2 linked regions of the Caenorhabditis elegans genome follow. The protein of the gene in region 1 interacts with the protein of each later gene in a biochemical or structural test. Each region holds a gene or a part of one and is shown on either strand. Other genes may lie near its edges.

Region 1 (5,237 bases):
AACTCCTTCTTCTGTTCATCATAAATCTAAACTGAAAAGTTTAAGACACTAATCCTGGAGCCGAATACGAAAAAGTGCTCGTGGAAGCTTTCAAGCTGGATACCATCATGAATTTGGCCGGTTCTACTATTCAGGCATATCGCCAGTAAGTTATATTTTTAATTTGAAATGAGAATTGGAATTTAGAGTGTTGAATCATTTTCTTATCACATGCATTACTCATCAAAAAATGTTTGAAAGTTATTTCCGCTAGGGCTGTAACAAAAAATGTACAGTACATTCTAAGCGGATACCCTAATTTTCAAAAAATTTCAATTTGCATCTACCGTAAAATAAAAATAAAAATCGAAATCTACTTTCCTAGTCCTCTAATTCAAAATTGCAAGATCTTATGACAAGTTTTCAGAAATAGTGAATATATGAATCAAAACTCTTTGCCCAAATTCTAATAATTCATGAGAAGTTTATGTTAATATGTTTTATTTTTTGGTTTTTATATTTTCTGAAATCCCACCTTTCTCTTGAGAAACAAAGCAATTTCGATACTTTTTTGCATATGAAGCTAAACAAATCCTAGATGTATTCTTCATAAAAACTCAGGTGTCCAAACATTGCAATTAACTATGAAAGGATGCATCTTTCCAATTGTTTCGCAATTCTTTCTCGCCTCCGTCTCTTGCTCTCTCATTTCCTCCATGTTGGACGGACGATCAATAGTTTCTATGTTGTCTCTAATATTTCTATGATCTCTCATCAGTGGCTGCGCACGTCTCGCTGTCTATTCGCCGACACGACGAGAGCGGGCTTTCGGTTAATACAACCAAACACTCTTTCCGAACAACGTTATGTTTTACTTGTCCACACTTTATTAGCATCTTTATGTTCAGAACCATTTCTTATGAGCTTTTGCAGGAGAGAAATTATTAGAAAGTTAAAATTTGGTTTCATTTCTGCTTATATTGCGAAATTTGTACCTATAGTGTTGCACATATTTAGCTTATCTTTGACATATTCCAAAAAGTTTCTCAGTTTTCTAAAAGTTTTTCCAAAATTGTTCTAGTGCAACTCAACCTAGCAAAATCAAAGAAATATATTAGTTCTACCACGAAATGCTATTGATTTTCAAAAATTATAGCGCATAGTGCAGCCTTGATTTTTTCAAATTAAAAATTTCAAAAACCGAGTAAATAAAAATTACAAATTTTTAAAAGAAAATATCAATCCACGATGATTTTTATTTTCTCTAAAACGTGTTGAACATTTGGAACATTTTTGCTTTATTTCAACTTATTTCAAAGCAACGTTTCGGTGTAAAATAAGTTTATCGTTATTTTGTGAAAATGTGGAATGTCATTTTAAAGGCACATGCGTATTTTCTCAGGGGGTCTCGCCACGATCTCCTGTATTTCAATAGCAAATGGCAGGGCTGTTATTTAAGACGCCCTCCTCAATCTTTGAGAGCTCATTTTGGCGTTTTTTTTAACTTCAGCCATAAAATTGAAACTGGATAATATTTACCTAAATAATAGATTTTCCAAATTCTTGCACCAAATAGATCTATGGTATAAAACTGTCAGGCTGATTTTCAAATTTTTGCATTTTTTAGAATTCCAAAGTGAGCAGTATTCATGGAAAAATATTTTTTGAATCTAGTTCTACGTTTTTGAGAGAATGCAAGATTTTAATTAATTTTTGTTGTGCCATACTTTGGCATTATTTACATTTAAAAGAAAAAAAGGGTTAATTTTTTCTGATAAATCTGAAATTAAAAAAAAAGACTATCGCAAAACTTATTGAACGACCTAATAGCTATGATCTACATAGATTCAACTGTTTTTACTCACTGAAAAAATTTTCTCGTTAGCTACCAACACTTCTCGAACTTCTTCCAATTACATTTAATAGATTTAAAATTTCAGGCGAAAAATCGAGTCGCTGGCGAAAATGTCAAACATGTCGCAGGACGACGTGACGACGGGCCTACGTACCGTTCAGCAGGGACTTGAAGCTCTTCGTGAGGAACACTCGACAATTTCGAATACTTTGGAGACTAGTGTCAAAGGTATGGCTTTTTTTACGACGAGTTGAACATTTACTAAAATTCAATCATTTAGGTGTGAAAGAAGATGAAGCTCCATTGCCGAAGCAGAAGCTTTCACAAATTAACGATAATTTGGATAAGTTGGTGTGCGGAGTTGATGAGACATCGTTGATGCTGATGGTATTCCAACTCACTCAAGGAATGGATGCTCAACATCAGAAATACCAAGCTCAACGGAGACGCTTGTGCCAGGAGAATGCGTGGCTTCGTGATGAGTTGAGTTCAACTCAAATCAAACTTCAACAGTCGGAGCAAATGGTTGCTCAATTGGAAGAGGAGAACAAGCATCTTAAGTATATGGCATCAATCAAACAATTTGATGATGGAACTGTAAGTTGAATTTTTCGAGGAGCATTCTTAACTTATTTTGTTTGTTTTCAGCAAAGTGATACTAAGACATCTGTCGATGTTGGACCACAACCAGTCACAAACGAAACTCTTCAAGAACTTGGTTTTGGACCAGAAGACGAAGAAGATATGAATGCTAGTCAATTCAACCAACCAACACCAGCCAACCAAATGGCGGCTTCTGCTAATGTTGGATACGAAATTCCAGCTCGTCTTCGCACACTTCACAACTTGGTCATTCAATACGCCTCCCAAGGTCGTTATGAAGTTGCAGTTCCATTGTGCAAGCAAGCTTTGGAAGATTTGGAGAAAACGAGTGGTCACGATCATCCAGATGTTGCCACAATGCTCAATATTTTGGCACTTGTCTACAGAGATCAGAACAAGTACAAAGAGGCTGCAAATCTTCTGAATGAGGCTCTCAGTATTCGTGAGAAATGTCTTGGAGAAAGTCATCCAGCTGTTGCCGCCACTCTCAACAATCTCGCAGTTTTGTTCGGAAAACGTGGAAAGTTCAAGGATGCTGAACCGCTTTGCAAGCGTGCTCTTGAAATTCGCGAGAAAGTTCTTGGAGATGATCATCCAGATGTGGCCAAGCAACTCAATAATCTTGCTCTTCTTTGCCAAAATCAAGGAAAGTATGAAGAAGTCGAGAAGTATTACAAGAGAGCTCTCGAAATCTACGAGAGCAAACTTGGACCTGATGACCCGAATGTGGCAAAGACCAAGAACAATTTGTCATCTGCTTACTTGAAACAAGGAAAATATAAGGAGGCTGAGGAGTTGTACAAGCAAATTCTCACCAGAGCTCATGAAAGAGAGTTCGGACAGATCAGTGGAGAGAATAAACCAATTTGGCAAATCGCTGAAGAACGAGAGGAGAACAAGCACAAGGGAGAAGGTGCAACTGCCAACGAACAAGCTGGATGGGCAAAAGCCGCCAAAGTTGATAGGTATTATGATTTTTATTAGAAAAAAATAAATTAAACAAAACTGATTCCAGTCCAACCGTCACAACAACTCTCAAGAACCTTGGAGCCCTTTACCGGCGACAAGGAAAATATGAAGCCGCCGAAACATTGGAAGATGTCGCCTTGAGAGCAAAGAAACAGGTATGTAATGATGTTTTTTCTGCATTCATGGCTTCTCTATCTAGCACGCTTTACTGCATTTAAAATACAAAAGTTCAGAAAAAAAATTTAGAAGTTAGATATTAATGTTGTAAAATGTTGTATGCGTCCCCGATACCCCAGTGACAAGAATTTGCTTCATATTTACATGTATTTTTGGAACTTAAAACATTGACAACAGTTGTTTCAAACCAGGGGAGTGCGTCAAATTTGCCGAATTTGCCGGTTGCCGAACTTGCCGGACACGGTAAATTTCGAAAATTGCCGCACACATCAAAAATTCGACAATAAAATTTTGACCAAAACTATGTTTCAAACTAACCCGAAAATTAGATGCTGCCTGAACAATGTCTTGCCAACTTTTGAACCAAAATTGGCAAATACTGAAATATTGCACAAATCTGAAGCTCATTCAAACGAATTGTTTTTTAAAATTAAAGTTTAAATTTAATACGAAGCATATTCTTGTCCTCCCCAAGCCCCCATCAATAACAATTCCAGTAACAAAAAAAAACACATAAAACGCTTATTTTTGTATTTTAGTGATAGTGATGTGCTTTAGAATTTGGTCACTCGTTTCCTCTTTTCAGTATTGTTTCCTCTTTCAGCATGAGCCATTACGAAGTGGAGCGATGGGCGGAATCGATGAAATGAGCCAGTCGATGATGGCTTCTACAATCGGTGGATCCAGAAACTCGATGACAACGAGCACATCTCAAACTGGATTGAAGAATAAACTAATGAATGCACTCGGATTCAACTCTTAAGAGCATCTCTTTGCAGCACTGACTGAAAACCGCTTATCGTTCTTGTATTAATAAGTGCTCGTTGATTCAAGTTCCAAATTCTGAAATTTTGTCTCAGATCTACGAAAACTTGCTTTTTTCTTCTTTCGTTGTGTTGTGCATGATTCTTTTTTTTTTGATTGATTTTTCTTTCTGCCCCATCCCCTCATTCACAAAATCTTGTTCATAAATAATAGGGTTGAATAATTGAATGTTTCCTTGTCCGCCCCCACCAACTTTTTGGTAAAGCTTTATATTGTCTGCTTCGAATTTTCTTTTCAAGCAAAAAAAAAAACATAATTATAACAAGCTGAAAAATCGTGTTGTTGTAAATAAAGGGTTTATTTTTGAATTCTGCTTGTTACAAGAAAAAGAAAACTTCAATTTCAGATGTCCGAATCTCGAAGAATGGAACGATCCGTTATGTATTGATTGTTGCTCGACATTGTACTCCGTCATCAAGCTTTACACTTCTTCGCAAAATTCCAAAAGTTTACAAGTTCTCATTTATTTATATGTATCAAGTTCTAATTAAACACTGCTTTTCTATTTTTGTTAGCTATTCGCATAATAACATTTTTTTTTAATTATAAAAATGTGAACCCGATTAAATTGGAAAAACGTTTCGAGAAAAATTATAATTGCAAAGATTCATGATATTTATTCAATAAGACTTGAAAAACATTTACCCTGATATTCAAAAAATTAACAAAAAACAACGGTCAAGTTGGTGATTATGGGAAGGGGTTTGTATTCTATGAAGAACACGGAGAGATTAACATGAGCGGTACCAAACCCTGGTACCAGGGCTTCCTGCTGGCAGGAAATTGTCAAATTGATAACCCATAATCTCCGGACCGAAGTGAAAACTTT
Region 2 (6,555 bases), on another chromosome or scaffold:
AGGTTATAACTTGAAAAATGATAAACAGAAAATTAACGGAACGGGTTACTGTACCACTTAAAGGGGCATATATTGTTATTTAAGGGTCCAACAAACCTTGGTGCACTGACGAACGACTTGTGCGGCGATTTGTGAATAACGGACGTAGTTGAGTCCAGCAGCTCTCCAGGCGACCATTTTTGATTTTGGGGGAAAGTTATTTAACCTTAATTTATACTATAAAATAATAAAATTTTCAGAAAAAGGAAGTAAATTGAAAGGTATGGAGAACAACCTTTAGACTAGAGAAATCTGTAAAATAAAAAATAAAAACTTTATACAGTCAAAGTTCAACAGGAAACTTGATAATATTCGAAAGTTACTGAATAATAATTAGTTGGTCCAAAATGGAAACAAAACTATCAATAAATATTTAATTACATTAAACTTATTTCTCATAGTTTTCAATGATATTCTCACTCCAGAACACTAATCAGTTAAGCTCATGCGTTTGTTGGTTATTCTTGCTCGTATGTTATTGTAAAATCTTGTTTAAAAAACAGCAAAACGTTTATTTAATAACAGAAAAAATAATAATTTTATTTACTGGAAGAGCAAAAGATACAAAAAAATGAATTACGCAATTGGGATGTGCGGGGATTTGGGGGCCGAATTGTGCAGAAACGAAACAAGTTGATTTCTTATGAAGAATGATAGGGGGATTTAGCAAGCAAGCTTTAAAGACACTCAAACGCATGCAAAAAACAATCATAGGAGTGTTGGTGGGTGACGGGGGGAAGAACCAGACAAAACCTCGTGTCAGATTAGTAAAACTGAAACAGGAAAATCGTATAGAAACAGACTATTAGAACAAAAAGGCGGAAAAAGGCAATTTGGGTGGGGGTGGAGGGAAGCTTTAAATACTTTTAGCTTTTGAAGTTTTGTATTCTACATGGAAGACGAGAAGCCAAGGAACGAAATGGGGAGACACAACCAACCAAATGAAGATATTTTTGTTGAAACTTCCAGAAGCCGCGTAATTGTATAAGTTACTAGATTTTAAAATAAACAGAAAAGCCCATCGAAAGTATATCACAAAGCCGGGAAAAGAAGAGAGATAGAGAAGCATTTGAATGTCAGTCTTCAGTGTATTGATTGGATCAAAGAAGACGATGAGTTGATGTTGTTGTTGGGAGACATTATGCTGAAAAACTTTGATTAGTGAAAAATGGACGGACAAAAGACTGTTAAATTTGATAATACGGTAGGAAGAAAAAGAAACACTCACTCTAATTCTAATTCATAGTATAATTACTTGTGAAAAATTACATGAGCACTAAAGAATTTTTAAAAAAATCTTAAATTTCTGCAATCAACTGTGAAATAGTCATTTTTGATGGTATCTGATTGCGAGATGTTGAAGGTGTAGATGTCTGACTAAACACACCGTTTGAGCCATTTGGAGCTCCTTGTGACATTCCTGCTGACGGAGACGTATACACTTGTCCTGGACGGATTGGCTTCACAATTTGTGGAGCATTCATTCGTCGCATGTTACGTTGTCGAACAGCTTCCTTGATTCGTTCAACTTCTTGTTGATACTTCTTTCGTTCTGCTTGACTACGTTGCTTCGAATCACGAAGAGCAGTTTCTAATATTTTGATGCGATCTTCACGACCACGAAGACGAGCTTCCATCTTTGGCAGTTCAACGCGCAAATCGGCATTGTCGCGAACAAGCTGAAAATTCAAGTTTTAAGATAATCAAAATGAGAATAAAAACGACAAACCTGCTTGTGAACCTTCGTCAACTTGTCCAAATTGTTCTCCAAGAACTGAATTCGTTGCTTTTGAGCTGGTCCACTGAGAGAATCTTCTCCCTCGGTGTCTTGATTGGCTTGGCATCGAGCAACAAGTACTCTCATGAACTCCTTTTTCAAATTCTTCAACGTTGTAAGCTCCATATTGACACGATCTGTTAGTGGCTTGATCTCCTTTGCCGCCTGATCCTTCACCAGCAATTGTTTCATTCTACCCGCGTCTTGACCAGATTCAACACGAGCAACATCAGCTGCAAGTTTCGCTTCAGCATCATGCTCGGCAGCTGTACTGCTCTCTTTCGCAGCAGAGTATTCTGAGAAGAGTTTTGAAACTCCGATTCTGACATGGTTCAGAAGATCGTGATCAGGAAGTTGATCATTTTGAGAGGCAATGTCAGCAATGTTGAATTCACGAATAACATTGTAGATTCCTTCTTTGAAATGACGGATTTTTGGACCACATTCGTCAAGATGAGCATTGAGGAGTGATGTTGCTTGGTTCATTCGATCTTCCAAACTCTGGTTATCTTCTTGAACAACTTCCAACTCTCTCTTCAATTTTTCGCATTCTGCTTGTCGAACATCCAAGTTGACAGCAATCTCTTCCAGAGCTGTCATCATTTCCTTTCCTTCTTGCTGCTTGTCTTCAGCTTCTTTTTGGAATCGGTTGTTCTCTTCACGGATCAGCTCCTCGTTTTCACGCATAGTTCCCAAAGCTTCTTCTTGGAGAAGAACTTGTTGTCTAAGCTTCTCAAGCTCTTGCGAAACTTTTTGAATCTCATCATCTTTCTCGTCGAGTTGCTGATACAGTTTGACACGTTCCTCTTCGTACTTCTTCTTCTCTTCGTCAGTGATCGGGCCAGTTGTAGAAGTTAGCATTGGAGGAGCTGGAGCAATCGAACGTTCCATGAGTGGAGTCGACCCACCAGAAACTTCCGACACAGCCATTTGAGCAGAATCTGATAGATTGACCCATTCAACCTCAGACACTGATTCTCCAGCACGCCAGCGTGAAAGTTCCAAAGCCGCTGCCTGGAGAAGGGCGGCCAATCGAGTATTCTTCTCTTTTTCTTTCTCATATCGCCGTTTCCATTCTTCTGCTGTGAGCTCTTCGTTGATTTGTACAACATTCTTGATAGTCTTCGCACGTGCTCCGAACAAAAGTGTGGATTTAGTTTCAGCTTCGTTGAAATGTGACGGAGAAGCACAAATAATAACTGTAGTACGGGAATTTCCTCCTAGAGATTCTTGAAGAATACGAGTCAGTTTGGAATCACGATATGGAACATGAGATTTCTGAAATAAATATTCGTTTTAAGAAGGTCATAATTTAAACAACTCACAGTTCCTTCAGCCAATGCTGAAATAACTATTCCGAGTGCAGTAAGTGACTTGTTGATGTTTTTGGCTTCTTCTAAAACTGTTCCTTGAGCTCCAGTTTTGCTCACTTTCTCAGAACCAGCCAAATCAACAAGATAAAGCTTTCCGGTGAGCTGTTTCTTTGTTGTCTGATGTTCTTGTTTCACAGTAATCAAGAAGACGGAATGAGATCGAGAAGAATGTTCGTTCATGTCTGAAATTTCGTTCACATGTTAATTTGTTTAATTTTAAGTTTACTCACTCGTAACTGCAACCATTCTGTTGGATTTTCCATCTTCGATTGCCTGAAGAACCTCATCGGGTCCTCCAACAAACCGTTCGGTGGCTCCCTTCACGTATGGCACTCGATTTTTATCTTCATGAATGGACAAATTGACCTTCTCGGGGTCTAATAAATCTCGAATCTTCTCGTTGTAAATTTCATAATAGGACACTTTGATGTGAAATTGAAGATTCTCGTCCATACTATAAATGTGGTTAAAGATGTCAGCAACGATACGTGGAATGATTCCCGACAAGCCATTATCACCGATTACTCCCTGTAAAAAATATGAAAATAATTAAATTATATTGTTAATTTCATCGAGCGCCGAATATTTTAAACGTAAAAATTATCAAAAATCTTTCGGGCATTCGATTTCGGAAATAACTGCTGAAAATTAGTTCTCAAACTTTTCTTTTCATTAATCAGTAAAGATTTGCACTGTTGATATTACAACTTGATTGTCTTTGTCGCATTCTACGTAATTATCAAGGTTTTCATAATTCCTACCTCCATTGTATGTGTTTTTCCGGAAGATGTTTGTCCATATGCAAAAACTGTTCCATTATAACCGGATAATACATCCTGTACGATGTGATAAGCGGCTCCTTTGTACACTTGCTCTTGCGTGGTGTTCGGCTTGAACACTTTATCGAACACGTATACTTTTCCCTGAAAAATTCCAACAAATCAATCGATATATATATATATATTCAACTTTGCACTTTTCGTGTACTTTTCAAACAGATGAATGTGTCATGTGAGAGAATTGACACACCTGCATCCCCCGTGCTTCCCGTCCCTGTTGACATAATTGTTCCCTATGACCCCTTTGTATTACTCACCCCAAGCGATATACTGTCCTCGGAAGGGAATTTGGGCAGGAAACGGTCCGCATTCTTCTCCTCGGTCTTATTGAGCGGCCGAATACGACAAAATACCTGAAAACAATATGAAATTGGAAAATCTAGGCGGGGAAAATTAATACCTGGACACCGCATTCTGCTCCGTCTGTCCGCGGCTCCATTTTCAGAGAATAATGATCACCAGTTGGCGGTTTGTAACGGCGCCTATCGTATTAATTACCCGGCTTCTCCTTACAATGCCTGCAATAAGTATAATCAATATGCTGAGTAGAGAACAAGAAAAGATGACGAGATGCAAGAGAAATAGAGAAAGGAGGAAACGGCAAAACATTGCGAAATTTCGGAATATTTCATCACTCGTCTCGTGCGCGATGCACAGAAGCTGCGAGTTTTGTTTGATTGGGCGGCTTTGACAAAAAATAAACTAAAGGCTCATAGATTATGGATAGACAACGGAATGATAACAAAATAACAAAAACTGCAACGTTTGTACTGAATATTCAAAATTTTCACACAGAAAATAGAGAAATAGAAAAAGACTGGCGTCGATCAAACGTGGCACACACAAATTTCACAAATTTATGCATTTTTGGTTAAATTGTTCGAAAAATGAGTTCGGAAAATGTTTTATAATTGAAATAATAGCTTCAAAACAACAGGAAACTTCTGGAAACAATAAAAGTTTTTCCCGCGCGGAAAAATGTTTTAGTTGGCAATTTGTCGTGAAATCTTGGGTTTTTCGAATTACGTACGTTTGCCTATCGTATTTTCGGTCAGATTAATTTTTAATTTCAGTTTTCTTTTTTTTTTCAGCAATGCTTATTTAATTACTTATTTATATTTGACATTTTATGTATATGCGCGAGAATTAAAAATTAAAAACAACTTGCAAAATCTCGTACATTTTCAAAATTTTATACTATAAAATTAACACCATCCAGCAGTGCTCAGTAAACCCGTTCATAATATACCCAGATTTAAACCAAATTAAAACCGTACAAGCCTATATTGTGAATTTATCTGCACAAATTTGGTTTGGATCTACACAAAATCGATTTGGAAATACACAAACCTACACAAATTCAGTTTACATCTACTCAAACTTGCAATCTATGCAAATTAAGTTTGGATCTAGACAATCTTGGTTTACATCTGCCCAAAATTAGAATTTTTCATAATATAGGCTTGTACGGTTTTAATTTGGTTTAAATCTGGGTATATTCTGAACGGGTTTACTGAGTGACAAGAAAGACAAAGTGAAACTGAAATCGCAAATCCAAAAACTAACATTTCTCCACGATACTTGTCTCTTAACTTTTCGGAATGAATATTAGCTTCAATATTATGCAATAACATATGGATAAATGCGGTTTTAAATAAATTTCATAGATAAATACACAAACTAAACAAGATGAGGATATCCGAGGGCAAATAAGGAGACTCAAACCAAATATGGTCATCAAATTGACAATGAGTAATGGCCAATACGACACGATACGGCAGATGGTGAAGGAAGGCGGGGGAGACCGATTCGGATGCGAAAAAGAACGATAAGAGAGAAAAGACACTGCAGGTGGGAGTATTGTGTTCAGTAGATTTTCGTGGTGGGACCTAGAGGATGGTCGGTGCAAAAGCTTCATTGAAAAAGAGTGAAACGAGAGGAGAGACACACTCACAACATTCATTCGTTTGGCGGGAAAAGAGACGAGGGAAGACTTTAGTATTGGGTGGTAGAAAGAGTTGGAGAAAGAAATTCGAAGGGATACAAGGAATGTATTGGCATCGTGAAGAGACACAGAGATACATCCGTGGTTCCCTGTGTTCTCTTCATTTTGTATAATGTTTTATTCTCGGTCAGAGGGACAACGGACGGCCTCTTCAAACACTCACAGAACATTCGCTCACTGCGCTCACTAGTAGAGAATAAAGGAAGTTACGAGAGAATGAAACTTCGAAGATAAATCAATTTTATTTTTTAAAATCAATGTTCGTAAACTTCGAATTAAGTGAAACCGTAATTTGAGATATATGAGTTTTGTTTGATCATCACAGCTACCATTTTCTCGGTCCATAGCCACATTGAGACAATGGATCTGATTCTGGTGGTTGATGATATAGTGGTGCATATCCTGCTGCTGCAGATGGATCATAGTGATTTGATGAAGCAGATGATGAGGCATGTACAGAAGTTACGGGACGTGACGGCGTTAGATAAGCAGTGTGATTTGGAGGCTGAAAATGTAATGCAA

Evidence for each region.
Region 2: the proteins of klc-2 (region 1) and unc-116 form a complex in vitro, tested with the Caenorhabditis elegans proteins (one study listed by BioGRID).

Annotation. Positions count from the first base shown.
Region 1 is NC_003283.11:5,576,212-5,581,448, reverse strand, and holds klc-2 (Kinesin light chain), read left to right. Parts: upstream 1-1,944; coding exon 1,945-2,062; intron 2,063-2,114; coding exon 2,115-2,431; intron 2,432-2,482; coding exon 2,483-3,402; intron 3,403-3,452; coding exon 3,453-3,561; intron 3,562-4,187; coding exon 4,188-4,346; 3' UTR 4,347-4,712; downstream 4,713-5,237. UniProt on the Caenorhabditis elegans protein: Kinesin is a microtubule-associated force-producing protein that may play a role in organelle transport. The light chain may function in coupling of cargo to the heavy chain or in the modulation of its ATPase activity.
Region 2 is NC_003281.10:8,350,629-8,357,183, forward strand, and holds unc-116 (Kinesin heavy chain), read right to left. Parts: upstream 4,547-6,555; 5' UTR 4,468-4,546; coding exon 4,429-4,467; intron 4,382-4,428; coding exon 4,286-4,381; intron 4,113-4,285; coding exon 3,951-4,112; intron 3,718-3,950; coding exon 3,420-3,717; intron 3,372-3,419; coding exon 3,142-3,371; intron 3,095-3,141; coding exon 1,769-3,094; intron 1,719-1,768; coding exon 1,427-1,718; intron 1,184-1,426; coding exon 1,179-1,183; 3' UTR 536-1,178; downstream 1-535. Other genes in the region: R05D3.6 (Putative ATP synthase subunit epsilon, mitochondrial), read right to left, coding at 97-177; Putative RNA-binding protein R05D3.8, read right to left, coding at 6,359-6,538. UniProt on the Caenorhabditis elegans protein: Microtubule-dependent motor protein required for organelle transport. Plays a role in endosome transport. Required for the transport of mitochondria along the axon of motor neurons. Involved in the nuclear migration of hyp7 hypodermal precursor cells.